Coturnix japonica: one gene and its partners. The protein of the gene in region 2 interacts with the protein of the main gene of each other region in a pairwise test. Links are inferred from orthologs where the notes say so. Each region holds a gene or a part of one and is shown on either strand. Other genes may lie near its edges.

Evidence for each region.
Region 1: the proteins of RAPGEF4 (region 2) and BMERB1 interact in binary tests that used the Homo sapiens proteins (3 or more experiments, as listed by UniProt). The link is inferred for Coturnix japonica from reciprocal best matches to the Homo sapiens genes RAPGEF4 and BMERB1.
Region 3: the proteins of RAPGEF4 (region 2) and SWAP70 interact in a two-hybrid assay, tested with the Homo sapiens proteins (2 studies listed by BioGRID and IntAct). The link is inferred for Coturnix japonica from reciprocal best matches to the Homo sapiens genes RAPGEF4 and SWAP70.

What each region holds. Positions count from the first base shown.
Region 1 is NC_029529.1:7,342,549-7,350,420, reverse strand, and holds part of BMERB1 (bMERB domain-containing protein 1), read right to left. Parts: intron 4,107-7,872; coding exon 3,983-4,106; intron 357-3,982; exon of another isoform or gene 300-356; intron 224-299; exon of another isoform or gene 138-223; intron 1-137.
Region 2 is NC_029522.1:15,617,194-15,625,065, reverse strand, and holds part of RAPGEF4 (rap guanine nucleotide exchange factor 4), read left to right. Parts: intron 1-426; coding exon 427-480; intron 481-745; coding exon 746-852; intron 853-2,728; coding exon 2,729-2,850; intron 2,851-3,956; coding exon 3,957-4,140; intron 4,141-7,872.
Region 3 is NC_029520.1:13,498,119-13,505,104, reverse strand, and holds the end of SWAP70 (switch-associated protein 70), read left to right. Parts: intron 1-206; coding exon 207-405; intron 406-1,571; coding exon 1,572-1,668; intron 1,669-2,671; coding exon 2,672-2,781; 3' UTR 2,782-4,731; downstream 4,732-6,986.

The DNA of each region.
Region 1 (7,872 bases), on a different chromosome or scaffold from region 2:
GGTGGCCATTATGTATCATGAGGTTGAGCTGCCACACAGCTCCTTTTCCCCTGTACAGTCAAATTGCTTGTTTCACCACTAGAAACTGCAGGCAGTTGGCATTGCCTCCTGTGGTTCCACAGTGGAAAAGGCTCCCTAAGTAATTGAAGAATAAAGTGTGTTACTTATTAAAGGGATGATTAGTGCCTTTCCCCTTTAACCAGGAGCATCAATCTGCTGACAGGTGAGGCCTCTTATCTGGTGACTGATTTTAGTCTCCTGAGAGTGACTGTTTCTGACACTTAAATCTCATTCAAAAGGTGGAAACTTTCTTCCTGGGGAGAGGAATCTTTCTGCTATTGACTTGGAGCAAAGATGTAAGTAATTTTAACATCCTGTAGAACACAAAGTAAGTTGCTTATTCCGTGAGACTATTGCAAAGCCTTGGAACCAAAAAGAGGGGAATTTATTAACTAAAATAACAAGCTTTGGTATTTTAAATCAGTATGTGATCACAGAAGTGTATGTGAAATTTGTTCAAATATAATGGGTGTTTTCTTCGCTTTAATTTTGAATACTGAAAATCCAAGTGTTGAGTTACTGATATGGTGTGATAGACATAGGCTGAAAGATAAAAGTGTAAACAGAATCTGCTTGGATATATAATAGAAAGAAACACATACACAGTGTTGTATGGTTTTTGAACACTGCTCACTGCCTTTTAAGCTTGACACCATTAAATCATTTTTATTTTTATTTTTTTCTAAACTTAATTCCACTGCCTGATTCCTTTCCTTGGATCTGCAAGGTCTTGCTTGAGTTAATAATGATGATTGATTATCTGGCTTTGATTTCTTTGCCATCCTATTCTTTCCTTCACCCAACAAGGTGACTCTTTTAAAGCTGTTAGTGATGATGAACCATTCTGTGAAGATTTTAATTAGATACTGAAGCGTACATTTAGGAACAACATGAGCAACATATTTTGTTTATCCCTTTTGTTATCCTACAGACTTCATTAGTCATTGGCATTGCTTTATTTAGTGCAGGAAAGTTAATACTAGCCTCCTTGTAGAAACACTTAACTAAGATAAGACCTAAGTGTCTTGGCTTTCAATGTAAGCAAAGTTATTTGTATATCTTGCTAATGACTTTGTCGTAAGAGTTCGTGTTTTTTGATGCTGAGAAAACCTGAGAGACATACTTTACAGATAATAGCTGAGGAACTGTCTGAAAGAATATTATATTAACAGTGATCTTGCATATCAGCTGATTCATGTTTAGAAGAGTGAGAAAATGCAAACTGACTTCTGTCCCTCCAGGCCTTCTTAGACCTGTTTGTTTTGCGTTTGTACTGGCTGCTATGCTAACCTGGAGCAGTTCTCTGCTTCATGCCCTTTACTTTATGGTTACTGCAGTTCTTCAGGCAAAATACTGATGTAACAGTTGAAACTTAACAAATATTGTTGCAGAGCTGCTTCAGAAGATCAGTGATAGTGAGTTTTATTATTATTCCATCTCAGTCTGCTTTGTACTTCTTCAAGGAAAGCAATAATTTCAATTAGTAGTTAGAACAAGTTCTTTCCAGGGATTAAACATCCATAGCTCTAATAGGGGAAGAGTTTGCACTGATTTTCATCAAAAACAAGTTTGGTTTGGAGTGTTCTGTTTCTTATTCATGAATGCAAACGCTTATAAAATACAGTGACCATGCTGTGAAGAGCTGTGGTGGTTGCTGGTTTAAGTAAAGCTGAGTGCGCCATTAGTACTGATGATACATTCAGAACATAAGCTCTCCAGCTTACTTTCTTTTATTTTGTCTTTTTCTTTGATGTAAGTCTACAATATGCTTTTTTTTCTAGCTTTAGGATCTGGTGACATGTGAATGCAAAAACTAAGAAATTCAGTGTGACAGTGAGAAGAATGAATCATTATTTTTTGAAAAAGGACATGTAATCTGTGGCTGGATGTGTAACTGATATAGAATTAATTGGTTCATCATTTTGTTTGTGCTTTTGTAAGAACTAAAACCCACCCAGCTTAGATCAAGAGGATTTCTATTCCATTGCTCGCTAACAGCATGAGAGAAAAATCAGGAATGCCAACATACTGCACGTTTTCTCCACTACTGTTAGTATGTTTTATTCTTTTGTTGTAAAACGATGAAAGCTGAAGTAGGTGTAAGAACTAAAGTGATCTGTTTCTCGTTAGAGCTGATCTTCGGCTTCTTGGTGTGAGCACTGGTGCAGCACTACTTTTGGCAGGGGTGCTGTCAAAGTCAAGTCAGCACAATTTCATACAGGTCATTCAGAGGGGAATCTAGTCTTGTTAGGAGAAATCAATTCCTAAATATACTTAAAATCATAATGAATGGACAGACTTCTAGTGTTGGAACACTAGCAATCCACTGCTTCAGGAAATAAATGAAAGAAATATACCTGGCTGTATATAAAGTCTTTTTCAGTGTGTCTATGAGTTAGAGTTTCTGTAACTCGTCTAGCTGAATAGGTACAAAACAGCGGACAACTGGGGAGTGCTCTTAGGCAGCTCTAGGCACAGTGTGTTTGGATATATGGATGTATCTAACACAGAAAGAGCATTGTGCTCAGAATGAATGTCAGTTTTGTTCCCTTTTCAATAACCACACTCCTCTGCATTCAGTTCATTACTCAGATACCTACCAGGCAACACAGAGTGGTGAGTGTGATGAGTGTGAGCACAGGGGAAATGAAAAGAGACTGGATTCAAGAACAAAGAATGCAAGGGAAGGACATGCAAAATTATGACAAGCAGGTGTCTGCCATGGCTTTCATTCACTGGGACAGATTATCTTTGTCCCATTGCTTTGTTTGGTATAGAAAATGTTAACGAGAATTACAGGGTTTGATTATGTGGATTTTTCTAGATTATATTTATGTAAAAGCCAATAATCAAGTACTTATTTAATGAGTACCAGGAATAGGTGTGACAAATTGTTTATCTTATTTATACCACTACAGCCCAATTAAAGGACAGAATAACTGTTACTAGTCTTTACTGCCAAAGATCTCTGGTCTGGGTTAGGATCTTCTGTAATAATAGTCAAGATAGATGTCTGTGCTGCTTGATGGTGAGCTTTCCAACTTCTGAGTGCACAAGTAAGTCAAGACACTGAAATTAACCTCCAGCAATAATAGTTAAAGTACCACTTTTAAATTTGTATTTTACAAGAAGAGACAAGTCAGTTTTTCTCGGGCTACAAGTAGCTTCATTAATGCCAATGCACCTTGTTTAGCAGGTATCAGACTTACTGAGGTTCTTGTCATTTAAGGCATTCGCTTCTAATCTATGCTTCCTATTAAGTTCTCATCTCCTAAATTTAGTGATTTAGAAACACAAACCCCACTGACTCCATCAGAACTGGGTTGATATTCATTAACATTAATTTGGGCTACAATGCCTGACCCTGATGACAGTTTTGAAAAATCTCTCATGGAATATCGTTATTTAATTTGATCTATGGAAATGTATTTTGTGTTTATAACTTAATAGCTTTCATTTAACAAATGTCAAACCTTGGCTGCTGTTAGTCTGGAACATGGAGTGCCCTCTTTGTCACGAACTAAGACCACTAATGAAGTGAGGAATAAAGCCTGAATTAGTTCAGCCGTTAGAAGCTCCGATCCCCTACCTGTTGATATTTCCTTCAGACAAACATCCTTTCCACAAAGGATTGAAGTCAGGTATAAAAATATTCTCTGTAGACAAGTACTTTGCTAAGGTTTCCTTTTGTAAGTAATACATCCCTTTTTTATTGTCTGCAAATCATGCCAAATAAAAAAGGCAATTTCCTTTGCAACTACAAAAATCATTTCCCAGTGGCATTTTGCAAGCATTCACCTAGCTGGGATGCTCTTTATCCATCTTCCTTTTAAAATGTCAAGCAGATATGAGTCTTCTAAGTAGCATTCTTTCCTATTTTGATTAATTTTGCATAGTGTTTCCCAGAGGAATTGATACTTACATAAACCTGAGTTCTGATTCTCTTCTGACTAAGACTTCCCGAAGTCTCTGGATCTTTGCCATCTCTAGCTCTATTTCCTCAGGCATCATTGTTGTTTCAGCCATTGAAATGATGTCAAGTTGATCTGCATGTGAAAGAAGAGGAAAAAAAAAATAAATGAAGCTGGTCAAACTATCTTAACAGGGTTTTTTAGGAATGCAAATTTAACCACAGAGTTATCTGGCTATGGATTAATTAATGAAACTAGTGGAGACTCTTCTAGTTGAGTGCTACGTTCACTGGTTTCTTTAGTGTTTTGCTTATTACTTTCAGTGTAACCATTTTGAAGAATTCCTAAACCAAGTGACCTTTATTTCTAGTCAGAATAACCCTAGAGAATCCTAACCCAGTGTGTTAACTTCAGCTTTAGTTCCTTAGTGGGAATAACTACAAACTTCGAAAGAATAGCCTTAGCTACAAAGCTCATTCAGAGCAATTACTTGCAAGTATGAAGAGTCCCGTCTTAGCCCAAGTGCAAGCCCTGAAAACTGATGAAGGTTTCCCATCTTCAATTCTTGAAACACTTTATGCCATTCCATTATGTCAACATGATGTACAGCACAGACTGGAGAATAGCTAAAGATGTGACTGGAAATGATGTAGGGCTTATTCCTGCAAGGAGGTGAGTGTTCCTCCAGAGAGCACTGATTAATTTCAAACAAGATTTGAGAGACTAAGACTAACACATAGAGTGCTTGTGTATTTTGGCAGATGTGTTCCTGAAAGGAGGCCTGTTCCAGCACTACAAAAAAGGTTAAAAAAGAAAAAGGAGAGGATGAAATAATTATGCAGAATACAGGAGCCAAAAAGTATCTGGAATTAAAAAAAAACTGCTCAACTAATTATGAGATGAATTCCCAAGTCCCTCATGACAGACTAAGCTAAGAAGAATTTCCAACAGAAACACAGGGTAGAAATAAAACTACAAAATCCCACCTAATAAAATAGTCAGAAAATACACCTCTCTGCATCAACTTAGTTTACAAAGACCTGTTCTCCTAGCATGGAACGAATCAATGCAATTCTAGAAGATAGAAAAATAAACACTTTGGGCTTAACTTTATCTTTTTTTTTTCTCGAGTGGATTGGTGGTAAATTCAAAAATGTAAGAAATCACTAATTTTTTTAAGAGAACAGAATATTGAGAGGGGGAAAAGTGACTATTGCTCTCCTACAGCAACAGGCATTTGATAGTAGTAGTTCTTAAAAACTCATGTTGCAGAACTTGTTGGTAGGGTAAGGCTATTTATTGCCTCTAGAAGATGGTTTTTCTTATCGGAAATCATTGTGTTTGTTGGCGTATATTTACCTGAGGTGTAGCCTGGATGGTTTAAGAAGTTTTGTTACAGCTCTGTCAGTGACAAAGCAAAGTCACATGTAAAGAGTAAGGCTGCTGAGTGTTTTCAAAATCCACCTACCTAGCAGGTGGTCAGAACTGCAATTCAATACTCAACAGATGTAGGTTCTTTTGACTGCTGTTCGATAAAACATTGATCCTTTAAGCATAGTTTTGCCTCTTGTTGCTTTTCAGGGCTGTGGAGTTATTTTAACTGTTTGTAGCAAAATTCGTTTGCTCAAAACTATATTAAGCAGGAGTTAGGAAGCTACTATGAATTAAAGCCAATAATATTGGTAACTAGAAACTGAGCCACAAATATATTGCATGCGTATATGTTTTAAAATTAATTCTCAAGAGCTCAGAAAAAAAAAGGGAAAAAAAATAACAAAAAGGAGCTTCTTTATTTCCACTCTACAACTCTAGTTCTGAGTGACCCACTATTACCCTTTGGTAATATACTGAAATCACAGTGTGATTTCAGTAGTTCAGGAGGGGAATCATGAGAAACCTTATGCCATCTGTGCCTAGAGTCAACGCTAGAATTATTGTGACAAGCACAAGTCTAGTCTGACCCCTTGCAGTACAGTCACAGATTCTCCTTCACATCCTACTCAACGTGTGTTTGAACTAGAGAGAATGTTCTTGAAAGGTATCCAAAATTATGTAGTGGTATCAAAAGAATCCAAACTATAAGCAAGGTGCCACAGATTTAAAAGTAGAGGGAAATAAATATAGAAACTGTAAGATCTCAGTTCACAACCTGTCTGCAAACTTAGGGATGCAACTAGAACAATACAGAGTATTCCAGTTTATCTCCACAGCAGTACGTGTCCCATAAGCATACTGTAAAGAAATTCTCATAGAAATTTCAGACTGGAAGGAAAAATAAGAAGAATTGAATTAAAGCAACTTTGAGGCAAAAAACAACAAATAGGACAGTTGAAACAAGAATAAATGTGGAGGTGAGGTTGCAGAGCATGGTGGTACTGTGGTTCTGGAAGAGATTTTTATGAGCCAATTCTAGAGGGATACACGTGGTCTTCCAAGAAGGAACTGAAGGATAAAGTCCATGCTTTATGCATCTATATCTTTATCTATACGCTGTTAAGGAACCATACGATTTTGCATCAGATTTTCAGCTTTCCTAAAGTTCCATTCCTAAAAGTTAAGAGTAAATGAGCTCCTTTGATAGCTGCCCATTTACCTTACTCTCTTATAGAGAGTCCATAGGTCTCATAAACTCAACAGAACTGCAGTATGACATGCACTTTGGCTCTCGCTGAAGACTATGTATTTTTAAGACAGGCTTTGAGGGGAAGATGCACAATTAGAATGCAGTACTTCTTGGAGTTTTTGAAACAGTAGAGCATAAGTGCGGGGATACTATGGAAATATAAGCCACTAAAGAGGCCACAGGTCAGGATTCCCCCTATATACCTTAATTGTTTTGATTCTCAAAAATCACCAACCTGTTTGTGCCTGAATTTCTCCTCTAGTATTGAAGATAACTGGCCCATCCTGAAGGATGATCATTGTTTATAAAATGTTTTGTGCTCCTATAATGAAATCTCTTGGAAAAGACTAAGTTAGCATTATTGGGCTTCAAGTAAGGCTCTAGCTCTGCCCTGGTGATGAATGACACCTTTAGTGCTCTGAGGCATGGTTCCGTACGGTTTCATGCACAAGTCTCATACCTTTTCATAACAGAAAGGAGAAATGTTTCATTTTATTTAAAACAGACATGTCACTGTCAACTATTTTTTTTAAAGCATATATTGTTAATACAGAAATCAAAGCTCAGACTGGTAATGAGCCAGAATTCATAAAGCAAAAGAGAAAGCAACAAGGATTAGTCACAGCTAGTGACAGGATTGAATTACTCCATGCTGTACAATCCCCGGGATAATTTCCAGTGACAAAGAAACAAGTAAAATATTACTACTCTATGCACAAAAAGATATTAACATGAAAATAATTACTGTATAGAAATAAGATTATTGTGCTATTACATATAATGAGATAGAGTGGAGAGGTGAAACACAAGCATGTTTGCTTCGATTTCAGTGTAGACTGGCATAGTTAAAATGGTTATTAACTTAATGATCACGCTGTACCCTCAGTGTGCCAACAACAAATGGAACATTAGCCACCTGTGATGAAAAGCAACAAAAAAGTGAAATACCTATTAAACTGGTAAATACAAAGAAAACTTTAAGGGAAGCTTGGAGCAGCAGAAGGAGAAATGGGAGAATGCACTGTACCAAGTAATAGTTTTAGAACAATTGGTAAGAAATGCTGTGCAGAAATGTAATTATCAGCAAGAATCCTGCTGCTGTGACTTGATGCAAGCATACTGTAGTCCACTGAGAAGCTCATTGTACTCTACAACCATTAGCTTGTTTAATTCTATTAATTCTAATTTAGGAGGTTTATTGTCATCATCTCTTTTGTTGTTTTCTTTTAAATAACAAAACAAAAAAACCACCAGATGCATGGAGAAAGTTTTAATAAC
Region 2 (7,872 bases):
AATGTGTGACAGTTTAGGAAAGACACAGTGGGAGCAAAGCTTTTTCTACCTTCCTGTTCATGTATTATGCCAGGAGAAGAAAGCTAAATAGAAATAGGTGCTAAAGGAGATAAGAGATTCCGTGGTGGGGGGACTGGTGGTAGAGACAGTCACCTGCAGAGAAATGCTGTTGTGTCCACAGGGGACTGAGAGCAGCAAGTGGAGGAGCTATCCATGCCTTCACAGCCTCAGCTCAGATGTGGTGTTTGACCACTGAAACATTCATTGGCACTTTGGAAAGCTTAGAGTTTGTTTATTCATCTTTACTCATATATTTGGTTTTACAGATTTTTTGATTCATTTTGCGTTGTTTTTTTTTTTTTAAGCTTTTATTTTACCTTTACTGCTCAACCTTTAAAATATATTTAATTTTATTTTATTTTTCAGACACCTCTTATTGACTCTCACATCCCACATCGTCCCTCTAAAACCATTACACAGGTAATAGGACACAGGTGTGCTGTAAAGACAGGCTGCTAGATAAACGGAATCAGCTGACCTCATGCCTTTCTTAATGTGCTAAGTATGAGAGACTTAATAATTTACACAATATATTGCATTGCTCTGCATAACTAAGCATCTGTACGAGGACTTCTAATTTAGGAGGAAGAGAACTTGTATTTTGTTTTGCAGAGGGCAGTACAATGACTGTGGAAAGTTTTAAATGTGTGTGTGTTGGTCCCTTTTTTTCTCCATGATCACCAAGGTTCCTTCAGAAAAGATCCTCAGAGCTGGAAAGATTTTGCGGAATACAATTCTGTCCCGAGCCCCTCACATGATAAGAGATCGTAAATATCATCTGAAGACTTACAGGTGTGTGAGCCTGTTTTTATGCCTGCCATCCTCTGATTTATTATTTAAGCCTTACCGTACTCTCAGGTCTCAAAAGGTCTAAAATTATCCAGTGATGCTATTTGAGCCTGTATGTTATGAGTCTTTAATGAGCCTGGTAAATCCATTCTGAAGTAATTTGACTGGAAATTGAGTCCACAGTTCTGAACAGATCATTCACTTAAAAAAAAATGCTCCCAAAGTTAATGGCATAGTTAGCTGGGAGATTCTGTGCAAAATGTAGATTCTGTTTACTTTGTATGTCGGTGGGATGTAATATGAAAGCTTAATTAGATTGTTACTGTCCTGATTGCTCCAACGAAGCTGCTAAGTGTGAAACCTGAAAATTCACCTAGTGAGAATCGTTCCTTATGTAGATTTTCCGTCCTATTCAGCCACCTTCTTCAGTGTTATCGTCAGGCTTTCTTTTCTTCCTGCTGGTGGCAGCACCGTCCCGTTGAAGTGGAACAGCAATAGCACTTTCAGACAGCAATCTGACTTCAGGGAGTCAGGCTCTATCTACTGTTGGCTTAGGAAATAATCAATTCGTTTTAGCATCTAAGGTTTGAATCAAATACCTTATGCATTATTTGGTGAATATTTAAATAAAAATTGGTTTAAAACCTCTGAGCATGTATTTTTCTAAATAGCAAATCAATATGTTGCTGATTTGCTTTTAAAGTAAGGGCATTGATTTTCCCAATTATTGTCCAAAGTATATCTAATATTATATGAGGTATTTGGAGCTTGTGTGGTGATCTGTCATGATGTGGCATTGGCTCATTGTTTTAGAACAATAAAAGAGCAAGCATGATATTTGAAGACCAATGCTGGTCCAAACAGCTGCAGCATTTTATCTTGTACAAAAATGGGGAAAACTCCTACACTGTTATCCCTGGGCTTTTTAAATATGGAATTTCAAACATTAGATTGTATCCAGGTGATACAAGCAGGTGTACCAGGTACAAGTGTATCAAAATGGGGTGTTAATTGCAAGAGTGTTATTTAAGCTAAATTACAATAGTTTCAGTAATATCTTCTTAGTTGGTCTCAAAAAGTGAGACACGAACTGTGGAACCAGGCCATTCTATGTGTCATCAGTTACAGATTTGCTCATTTTTGATCACTTTGCACATTTACTTCTGTTCTGCTGTGTTCGGATGTGTTAAGACAAATGTCCTTTGGAGAAACACCAATTTTACATGGTGACCACCCTTCCCCCCTCCTCCCCACCCCCTCATTTTTTTTTCCTTCTCCCCCCAACTCCACTTTGGGTACTCTGCAGAATTTGAGACCTGCTGTTGTTCACCTCCAGGTCAGTCAGGAGCTGCAAAATGACCAGAACCTGGCATGAAAGAGCCTCATGTGCACTGTAGACCTGCAAACCAGTGCCCTCAAGTACAGTCTAGCTAGAGAGAGCTTGGTTACAAACGGAGGAAAATGCACATAATGCTCACTCTCCCTATAAAGGCTGTTCTCATAGTCAGAGCTATTATAATGTTAAATGTTTTCATGCAGAATGCTGAAAAATTTGAGGCTTTCACATGACAGATTTTCTCTGAAATTTGGGTTGAAGGTTGCTGCATCAATGCTGTGGGTTTTGACCAGCTGTTACAGGTTCACTCTGATCCTCTGAATGTTGCATTTCCCTAAGCATTTGCTGTTCTTTGAAGCAGTTTCTCTCAAAACATAGGTGCCTTCACTGGTATTTCAGACATATAGGCAGAGACCATGTAATTGTCTTCTACAATGATATCTGACTAAAACAGAGTTTGAGATATCACTGCTGTTAGCAGATACTGTTTGTGATCTCTCTATAAGCAACCTTTTCATTCCTTTCTGTTCATTTGTGCTTCAGGCAATGCTGTGTGGGGACAGAACTTGTTGACTGGATGATGCAGCAAAGCACTTGTGTCCACTCACGAAGTCAGGCTGTTGGCATGTGGCAAGTATTGCTGGAAGAAGGCGTTCTTAACCATGGTAAGTTAAAGACATTCAGAGCCTTGACTAAAATTTGATGAGTGTGTCCCATCAGTGTCTCTGTGGATTTCTTTGGTGAAAAATAAAAGGATTGTGAGCCCAAATGAAAAACTACAAATAAACCTTTTCAGAAGCTTGATTTGTACACAATATACAGATGATAATAATGGAATCTTGCTACCAGCATACCTTTATCATTTATGAAAATACTGAAAAGTCAGTGAAATTTCAATGTAAGTCTAGTTAGACTTATTATTACACTGATTTGTGATTATATTCCAGAAGTTGGATATCATCTGAGCCAAAACTAAGATATATGTTGCCGTACATAAAATTGATCTTCACTTCCAAATGCTGCAAAATTTTTACTTGAATGTAAGCTTTTCTGTTCGCTCATATCCATAATTTTTGGATGATTTTCAGTGGTTTTTGAATGGTTCCCAAATTCAGCACTCCAGATATCCCAGTGCAGAGATCTGGGGTTTTATGTTAGTTTTCTGATTGCATTTTATGTTGCCTCATGGGTTCCACTTGGCAAGATTTACTAGGTAACAGAATGTTATAGCCCTCCAAAATGCAGCTTTCTAAAGCAGTATTCATATCTAAAGCTGTGCATGTACAGTTTTATGAAGTTCAGAACAGCCACACTATTACAGTATACTTCCAGTCATTGTCTGTTGTGCTTTCCACATCCCAGGAAGAACTTTCCTTTCTGAGAAGACAGATTATTTCCACCATTTCCTTTCATAAAAGGCTGTAGCTTACATTCCTGCCAAATACTGTTTTGAATTCCTAGGACCAAGCTGCTCCAACTACATCACACTATCCAGCTCAATACACCATTATGAGTTGCTTGGAAGACCAGGGATTTGTCTTTTGCTGTGTCACAGCCTCTCTTCAGCAGTCTTCCAAGAGAAGACTTAACATTACACTCTCCACTAAGATACAAGTCAATGGTCTTCACTCTGGTATTACATGTTGTTGACACATTACCAGAACATGATTTTAGCTGCTTCTTGGTTTGTTACTTTTCTGCTCTGTCTGAAACAGCCGGGGTAAGGTGTTCATGCTGGAGTACAACTCTTAATATATTCTGTTGTTTCCAGTGGACCAGGAGCACCACTTTCAGGACAAATACTTATTTTATCGATTTTTGGATGATGAGCGTGAAGATGCCCCTTTGCCAACAGAGGAAGAGAAAAAGGAGTGTGATGAGGAGCTACAGGACACTATGCTGCTTCTGTCTCAGATCGGGCCGGATGCACATATGAGGATGATTCTCAGAAAACCGTAAGCAAATTAGTAAATTAATGGTTCAAATGTGTCCTCCTTGTTACATTGGAAGGCTACGTATATTACCAGGCATCCTTTAGCTAGTTATTTCAGTGCAAGTTTACTCAGCCTCTTACATTTGTTAGTCAACACTAAGTAACTTCCAGTACTTATTCATAAATTGGAACATATACCTGAAATAGTAATCAAAAGCTATGAATGTTATCATACCTTGTAGAAAATGCAGCGCATGAGTTTTTATTTCATTTCTGAGTATCACTAGCAGTAAGGTACAGGTTCCATTAACACTTTCAGTGCTGGTATGCCGTTCAGTTAACTGCACCACTTTCAGTTGTTACCAGTGCTTGGATGGTAAGTTTGTTAGCACAGCAGATGCCTTTCAATTAGTCATCAGTGGGAGACCTTAATTAATTTCATCTTTGGTAGAACTTTATTGAATTGAGAGAATCTGGACATTGCCTGTTATACTTTGCTAGCAAGGTATGAAATATAGCTCTTTGGGTTTGTTTATCTATTTTCATTGTGGTTTTTTTTTCTGTTTGTTTTGTTTTTGTTTTCTGTTTTTTGATTTTTTTATGTAAATATTTCCTATACCTAGGCCAAAGAGGATGTCTGTCTAACCTTTTCATAGCTATCAGATTATATCTTCTCAGTCATCATTTGGCTAACCACCCTTTCAGCAGTACATTCTGGGTTTTTTTTCCCACAGGCAGCTTTATAGTGACTTCAAAGCAAGCAATATAATCTCTGTTTGACCTTCCATTACAAGCAATCTCTTTATTATGCAGGTAGTGTTTAGGAGCTACTGAAGACATACTTTACTGCTAATTAAGTGCGCTGAGAATAATGATTTATTTAAGGTCATTCTCACTAATGATTTACTTGTAAGGGTCAGATCAAGGAAGGTAAGTACATAGAGCTAAATCCTACTCCTTTTGAGGCCAACGGCAAAGTTTGTCTTTGTTACAGGAGTGCCTTGGGCCATGGCTACTGTGTGAGAGAAGTTTTAGGCTAAAAATATCTAGAATCCAATACAACTGCTTATTCTTGTTCTGGTTCTATCTGTATCCTTTCTCTGCTCTATTCTTGTCTCAGTGTTGTCTATTTAGATCATAAGCTTATTTGCGCAGTGGCTCAGCATTCCCTGGGAATACAGGTTAGGTGGCACTTATCCGAAACCTTGATGAAGGTGCTGAATTTCAAAAAGTTCAACCAGATGTTTGTGCTCACAGAAGTTGTTTAACACTACTGTGCCAGAATAGCTTCTCTTTCCTCCATTTGGTAGAAGTCTAGTCCAGGACAATCCCTGTCACACAAAACACACAGGTAAACCAGACTGGGAGCATGGTATATATGTAAACTATTATAGTATCAACAAAGTGAAGTATTTTCTTCTCACAAAAATGTCCTGTGCTTTCCAGTGAGGAGTAGAAGGCAGCTGTGAGTAGTAGTTTCATCAGGAGACTATGAGCAGCATCCTGTACGCTATGACCTTGCATCTCTGCACCGTCTCCTTTGCCTCTGTCAGTCTGCAGGCTAGATCTTAGAGAACTGCCCCCTTAGTTTGTGTGCTTTCAGCCACCTACTACATTCTCTTTGCATTGTGACTTTCTGATCACCCAGTGTAAGTTTACGCTGGCAAGATCAGTGCTGATTATTGTCCACACTCCTTGCAGAGCTGAAAGGTTGATGTGATGCTGTGAAAAGTATCGCTTTCCCCCCTGTGTTGTTACTTGCACAGCATCACCTGAAAGAATATTCATAGGAGATTTTTCATGCAATATAGTGAGGGGAATTGGGTTTTCCCAAGACTGACATTCTCTGACATTTTTCCCTATTTCTGTCCCTGGAAGTGCTTATTTTGCTGCACTTTGCTCACGGGAACAAGTTTGTACTCTCAGGCTCCATATTAACTACTCTTCTGGTATTCAGTTTACATATGTTATGACCCTGCTAGTTGAGAATCATCTGTGCTGAGGTGCATCAAAGCTGCTGAAATCTCTGTGAATCCTCAAAGTCCTGCTAATTTTGACTAGGTGCCATTACAGCTGCCAGAAGTTCAAGGAGTGGTCAGGCCCTGAGAGATGCTAGCTGCAGCTGACCTGAGCAGGGCCACAGTTTTTAAACCAACACAGCTGCCTTTTATAGCACTCACCATTTCCAGAGAGGTTGCAGAACTTTGATAATTACCCTGAAAGAAATAAGACAATATTCTTTGATGAGAAGATAGCTTTGAGAATTTGATTGTATAATGAAGCTGTTGCTTTGAAAGGTACTTTCTATTGTTCAAAATCTGAAAATCTCCAGTAAAAAGTGTCACTTGTTTTGACAGCTGACTTAAAAAATTCTCTGTTTATTACATTAACTGCAGCATTTTAACTGTCAGACTGTGAAAGAATGTTCTATAGTTTAAAAAACAGAATAGAGCTCAGGGAAATTTTTTTTGGCAGGCTCTTGTTGCACTTGAGGGATTTTTTTTCCCCCTTTTTTTTGAAACACATACAGTGTGAATGTGAAAACAGCTTTTTGTGAAGCAGCAAACACTGCTCTCTGTTCCCCTGAGGAAGGAGCAGACCTTGTGCAAGTCATTGTAGAATTAACACAGCTCTTCCTCACAAGCTTTTCAATCCTCCACTGTGAAAATACATGCTAACAATGTATTTTTAGTTGATTTTAATAACATTCAGGCGTTGCTAACCTCATGGTTGCTCCTAATTAAATAGCATACTGTCATACAAAACTGAACGTGGCAATAACAGAAGTCTTTAAGGAGAAGGTGTTGTTCATAAGAAAATGATATTTAGCTAAGATGGATTATGTGCTGTGTTTTAATACAATAGTCTACAGTAAATTAACAGTGTGGCAGAAACTGTAATTCTCTGTCATACATTCTTGGTGACTTCACTCAGCAAATTGTATTCTGAAGTACAAAGATTGTGATTCCACATTTGATGAGTAAGCAGTCACTTGTGGAGTAAAGCTGAAGAAGATGCTAGGGAGATCTGAACTTAATAACGAACAACACAGACAGATATATAATAACAACATAATTACTGCTAGTAATATGTAGTTTTTTGAAGATGTTCTTAAAAATAAACAAGATCTGTTCTTCTGTCTTGAAGAATTTTTATTTAGATATCATTCTACACAGCTGTCAGTATTAACCATACTGAATTATTCCGTAACAACTGTATGATGTTCCATAGTCCTTGATGGGGTTTTCTGACAATGGCATTTAATAAACTAAATGTTATTTGTGGTGGGGGTAATGCAATCTTTCCACATGTCAGTTCAGTGATATTTACAGGTATCATTTGTGACAAGTGGTATTTATGGGCTTATTTATATTAGTCAAAATGTACCAATTCAAGTACAAAGATTATGTAATTTGCTTCTATTCTAGAGTAAGTGAATGTGCATTCACTTCCATGTTCAGATGCAGGTAGTGGACAAAATTATTCTTGTCTCCTACATAGACTTCGTAGTACTTGCAGGCAAAACTTGTACTCTGGAAATATATGCTTATTTGACACATGATATTATGGGGCCTCTGATCTTTTCTATTGTTCTTATAATCTGTAAATTTTCTGCTTAATGGTGTAACAAGAAATAGTCAATGACATTTTTTGTGTGTACACAGTTTATCAATCACAAAGTGCTATGTTGTTGTCACACAGAAGCTCAGTATCTCTGACCTTGATAAATTCTCCAAACACTGAACTGTTTTTA
Region 3 (6,986 bases), on a different chromosome or scaffold from region 2:
TGAGCCTGCTGCTGCTGGCCTGACTTTCAATGCCACACTGAAGACAAGCCAAGCAGCAGTGACTTTTTCTCTGCTTCCCAATATTTGACTTTATTTTTAATTAAAATTTCCAAGAAAGAAAATAATTAACTTGGCTCTCCTCTGTATGCTATGTAATGGCTACAGCTTACTGTGAAGTGCAGCTGACGCCATAATCCCCATTGCAGGTTACTGGAAGAGGAGTCAGCAAAGAGAGCTGAACTGGAAAAATGGCACTTGCAGCAGCAACAGACCATTCAGATGACAGAAGCTGAGAAGCAGGAGCTAGAAAACCAGAGAATGATAAAGGAACAGGCCCTTCAGGTTGCTATGCAGCAATTGGAACAGCTTGAACTGGAAAGGAAAGAGGCCCTTGAACAATATGAGGTGAGTTGTTCTGTTTATCAGCCTCTCCTGTTTGCCAGGTATGCAGTATTTGAACTGAATTTGAAGTTCACCAGTGTCACACCTGTTAAAGGATTAGTAAAGTACGAGATTTATAAGGACAGGGAGGGTAGTTAAGTGACTTTATTTTTATTTTTGCCACAGACCGCTACATTTGAAGAAGAGGACAGGTTTCAAATATACCGCTCCTTTATTCTTTTATCCTAATTCCTACTCAAGCCAGCTCAGCTATAGCCTAAAATACTTCATGTACCTGTCTGCTGCTGTAGACTATATGCAGTCCCATTGCTATCTTAATGGGATGCTTCTAAATTAGTTACTCTTGCAGTGTCTTGATGATTTGGGGCAGTGTCTTCTACATATGAAATCCTGATGTGCACCTGTAAGCTCTTGTTCCTTTAGAAGTACTTAAGCACTGGAATTGATGGCAAGGAATGAGTCTAGGTCCTTTAATGTGGAGCAGTGCCTGGTCTCCCAAATGCCAGGCATGTTCTCTGCTCCTCTGAGTGTGCAGGCCAGCAGCTTGAACTTGTGGAAGAAATGTGAAGTATTTCTCAGAATCACTTGAGTACAGATATTGGATTCCTGTGTGCTCTGTAGGGCTGGAGAGGTGTTGACCCCGACTGTTTAGGTCAGGAAAACAAAACAGTGAGATTTCTGTTTAGTCGGGAGTGTATTGATGCTGTCACCGTGTTCCTGGAGTTAGCCTGTGCTTCACAGGAGCTAAGGAGCAGCCTGGACTGGCACAGGACATACTGCAGTGATTCCAAGATGGAATATTTCTGGCCATTTTATGACTTACTGGGTGGGAGCTGCATGTAACTGATTGTGAGCATTGCTTTCAGATAATACTCAGCTTTTTTGTGTATTCAGCATCATTTACTGCTCTGCACCAATGGCTGACTATGTGAGAATTAAAAAACAGAGAGTGAAACTGAAGTGGTGGAGTGGAGGAGTTGACATTATTCTAGAAATAACTGATCATTCGATTTAGAACTGACTGAAAGCCCTGTTTATGCAGAAGAATCTCTTTCTTGCTTGTGGCTTAGCAGCAGCACTCTGTTGTTGTTGTATTTTAAAGTGTTTTATTTGTGTATAAATACAATACAGTTATTTTCCAGTCTAAATGGGGCTATATTTTATTTCAGGAGGTTAAAAAGAAGTTGGAAACGGCAGCTAATAACACCAGGAGCTGGAAAGACAAAGTAGCTCACCATGAGGGACTGATTCGACTAATAGAGCCAGGTAAGTAAGTAATTAACATGAAAATCACAAAGGCAGAGTACTCATGTATGTGCATCAGCCAGCTGTGTATTTAAGGCCACCTTTCCTTGTAACTTACTGGCTTCTCTACAGCCAATAAACACTACACTGTCAGAACTGCTGCTCAAAGTAGGATCTTCCGTCTGAGTGGTAGGATTGTTCTGCATTCAGAACCTACATGGTTCAGAAGAAAGAGAAGTTGCAACTCTGCACTACATACAGTGTATTACAAAAAATACCATCAATACAGGACTTAAAACTTGTTGCCTGTGTGCAGTGTAAGTACTGAAGGATCTCGACTGATGAGACCTGCTGCTCCCTGAGGATTTGGTTTTACTTGAAATAAATGAGTATTATTAACTTAGCAGTAGATAAAGGCTCTTGCTCTCAAAAGGGGCGTTATGAAATCCACCTACCTGGAGTGTTAAACCTGTGCAAAATTAAACATCAGAACCTTTTCACATCTTTACCCCCTCTAGTGGCTTTGCTAAAACTATTTCTTTTTAGTGTTATTTCATAATATAGCATATGTTGTGACATGATGCAATTACTGTTACATTATATTGCTACTTTGTATCATAATATTGTACTGATGTCAAGATACAACATTCTGCAGTATATCATTCTGTCTCTAATATTTACATTATTATAGTATTGCATTGTGTTACTATATATATTTAAACAAAGCAAGGATCAACCGGAAGGTGGCACGTATGAGTGTTAGTCAGCCTAAATGTGTTCTGCCAAAAGCACAAAGGAAAGATCCCTTCACCACTTACTGGATGTTTAGCTGGGAACCTCTCCCTTGAAGCACCTTTGCTGTGTCCCCAGTGTCCCTCCTGCTGCAGTGAGGTGGTTCCTTGCGCTGCCTTTTGAGACAGCTCCCAGCCATTGAATGCTGACCAAACCATCCCAAGTCTGTCCTGCTGCTGTGGGAGTGGTGGGACTGTCAGAAACGTTTGTTTCAATGCTCTCTGTCTTCCAGGCTCCAAGAATCCACACCTCATCACAAACTGGGGTCCGGCAGCCTTCACTGAAGCTGAACTGGAGCAAAGACAGAAGAGCTGGAAAGGGAAAAAAGCCTCTTCTGAGTAATGATGATAGCTGACACACTGTGAACAGAAGTCCACCCTTGTTCACTCTGCTTTGCACAGAACAGCTTGTTGCTCTTTTGAAGATGCTAGTTTACTCAGCAGGATGGCCTTTCTACAAAGGAAATGCTGTTTACCATGCAGAAGTGTCTACTAAGAGCTCAGTAACTATACCACTGTGTGCTGTCTGGCAGTACTTGCTGTTTTCCTTCACCTTAACAGATATCCTGTTCCTTTATGCAAGACTTTTCTACTGAAGATTTTTATTTAAGTGTAGCCTGTGACACAGTGGTTTCTATATTAGCCTGTAACAAACAGGCAGCATCTAACCCATCAGGCACCATCCTTCTCATTTCAAAAAGCAAGGGAAGCAATTGCTATACTTAGTATAATGTAAACCTGGGAGAAGTCAGTCTTGTGGCCTCTGTCCAGAGCATTACCTTTCTTTCCTTTTAGGCTCCTTTTGCTTTTTCCTCTGTCTGCCTGTTGCTCTTCATGTCGCTGGCTTCATCCCTGTGTACCCACAGTCTCTGTTTCCTGGCTCCTGTGATCTGTGTGTCCTCTGCAGGAATGCACATAAAAGCATTGGAAAGAGGCATGTGCAAAATGCTGTTGCAGAAAATTTAGGCAAAGCAGTCGTGCAAGATTGATCTTGTCACTGCTTCATACCTGAGGCTGGCTTCAAAAAAGTTTAAGAACTCAGAAAACCACAACACACTGTTTGTGGTTTAACAGATGCTCACTTTTGTCTCTCAGATTGTTCTGGAGTGCATAAATGGAACGTGACGGCACAGAGATGAAATATCTACATCAAACCTATGTTTATGTAAGATGTTTGTTGATGCAATGACCAGTCCTATAGTTGTAGCACTCTGTTTTGTCTTATTCTTCATTAAGGGCCTGATTAGAAAAATGGGAGATGAAAACTAAAGTTGACATTTGTATTTGATATGAGAATGATGAGTCAGTAGCAGTACTGCTACACAACAAAATAATTCCTGTCCATCCATTCCAGCATTACTGGTAACCAGGATTTTCCATGGAGTCTTAAACTTCTCTGTAGAGAACCAGAGAGGGATTTCTGTTTCTGCGGGGAAGGAACAAGTGTGTGATGTTGCCCCGTAGCTCGCTCACCAGACTGAGGTCTAGCTGAAGTTCGACTGGCATTCTGAGAAGTCCTGCCTTGTGAAGAGCAGGTGCCCACTGCTGTGGTTTGTTAATCAGCTTTGACTTTTGCACACACACCAAACATAACAGTTTTTCATTCAGCTCGATGTTAAATTACCTTTAGGAAATAAGATGTGAACGTATTAGGTGAGTAACCAGTGCCTTTGGACACAGCATGGCGCTGCTCAGCTCTCAGACGCTGTACAGGCGGAGCTTCAGATTAAGAACTCGACAGCATTTTCATTGTCTGTTAACTAGGACTCACTCAAATACTGCAATCTTTTTAGACATTTACTCTTTGATTATATTTTTTTGTACTAATTGAAATCTTTCAATGTTTTGGTAAATGGGATGCTATGGTAAATGGTAAAATGGAAGGCAAATCCAGGATTGTCCTATTTGTATTTACTGTACAGAAAAGCAGTAGTTTCTTAAGTTTGCTAACAGGGCACTTTTATATTGATCTTGTTTATAGAAAAAATGTGAAAAAAGCTGTAATGGAAATACTAATGTTAAAATTTGCGAGATAAAAAGGAACATGATCTATAAACTGCTCTGTGCCTCTCGTGGGGAGCAGAAGATAGGAGTCATCTTCTGGGGCCAAACTTGGTAATTTTCATAGCAGTCTTTGTTTTGAATAAATGTGGTGTTTTTGGTTTTTTTTTTCTTTCTTTTTTTTTTTTTTTTTTTTTTTTAAGAACACCAAAAGATGCACGTTTTCAGATTTTTTACTGTTCTTTAGAATGAGCTATTTAATAAAGTAATAAACATCAGTGACAGCTCAGAACATAGAGCTGGATTATTAATTTTCATGCACACACAAGGTGAGTAATTAATTTCCACGCACTCACACACACAGTGTCAGATTTTCCACGCACTCACACACACAGTGTCGGATTTTGTCCACGCACTCACACACATAGTGTCGAATATACATACACAGCTGGTGACTAATTAATTTCCACGCACTCACACACATAGTGTCCGTCACGCACTCACACACATAGTGTCGGATTTTCACGCACTCACACACATAGTGTCGGATTTTCCACGCACTCACACACAGAGTGTCGGATTTTTACGCACTCACACACATAGTGTCGAATATACATACACAGCTGATGACTAATTAATATCCACGCACTCACACACATAGTGTCCATCACGCACTCACACACATAGTGTCGAATATACATACACAGCTGATGACTAATTAATTTCCACGCACTCACACACATAGTGTCGAATTTCACGCACTCACACACATAGTGTCGAATATACATACACAGCTGATGACTAATTAATTTCCACGCACTCACACACATAGTGTCAGATTTTCACGCACTCACACACATAGTGTCGAATATACATACACAGCTGATGACTAATTAATTTCCCACGCACTCACACACATAGTGTCGGATTTTCCACGCACTCACACACATAGTGTCGGATTTTCACGCACTCACACACATAGTGTCGAATATACATACACAGCTGGTGACTAATTAATTGCCACGCACTCACACACACAGTGTCGGATTTTGTCCACGCACTCACACACATAGTGTCGAACTGGCACGCACTCACACACTTAGTGTCTAATTAATTTCCACGCACTCACACACTTAGAGACTCAAGGACAGTTAACAGCAAAGTTTTTTGTTGTTGTTTTTTCTTTATGTTTAGCCTTTTATTTTCTAGTAATTTTCCAGCAGCAAAATGTAGCCTTTACACATTAGCTGTAGAACTTGCCAGCACAAAGTTTTTGTTATGCCAACATTAAAAGGATCTTTTAGTAGTTGCATTTCAAGTCTTTTCCAGTGTATCGCATGATGCAGTATTTACTCCTGAGGACTACATTTTAAGCTCCAAAGATACACAAAGATATACAAAGATAATTTAAAAGAAAGCTAACACATACTGTGTTTTTCCCTGAACACAGAGAGCCTTTTTCATATTGAGCATGTTAATATTCTACATCACTGTTATTTACAAAGAAATTATTTGTTCTAGTCCATCCCAGTCTTCCTAGTTTCATACATCCAGACAGGCTCTCCAAAAACTGCAGAAGGTCTCAGCAATGTCCATTACAGACATGCAAGAGATCGGTCAAGCCTCTAATGCCTTCTGCAGTTTTATTGACAACCAACAAATACTTACCCAGTGAAGTGGCCGGATTTCACAGGGTCTGATGTCTGTTCTAGATTCTTCCTGGTTATTGATCTTCAACTGTTCCTCTAACAGTTCTTCTAATCAGTTAATTGGTCCAGCTTCTCCCAAACCACAGTGATAAAGGATGAAAAGTCTCTTAAGAGTAACAGGATTAACAATGCACATCAATGGAAGCTCCTGTCTACCCTTAGATGCAAACAGACACTGCTTGTCTCTTGTCTCACTCTCTGGTCTTCCAGGGTTTCACAGTGATAGGATCTATCAAAGAGTCTGATAAGCTCTTTAGTGACTTGCTCACAGTTACATCTACCCCCACATCTCCCCCTTCTTTATTAATAGAAAAAGCACAGTTCATAGCATCCTGTATCTTTTTTTCTGTACATAGCAACAAACATGGAATACAAACCAAAACACAAAGTAATAAGACAAACTAACCCTAATTTTAGCAGATTTTATATCCATCCCACAAAACCTCTAAAAAGACCTCCAAATATATTCCCCCCATCTTGGGCCCGTTCCTTCCTCCAGAGAAAGGCATGTCTGCACACAGGGTTGCTTTTTGCAGCGTAGCACTTCTTCTAGCATGATCTTCAGTTCAGTTTCTATGCAGTATGAACTTCCTTCCCGCACTCTTAGTCCAGAGGTGGGTTCTTGTTTGGATCCAAATCATTTCATAAAAACTAACATACATTCACAAGTTTCCTTTTTTAGCTTTCCATCCTTCCTTACAACTTTGTTTGTTTATTTACAACTTTTTTGTTTATTAGCAAACAATCACCACACTATAAAATAAGAGCACTAATTATATTAGTAGCACAATCGTCAAAACTCAATCAAAACCTCAACTGATAACACACTAAACATAAG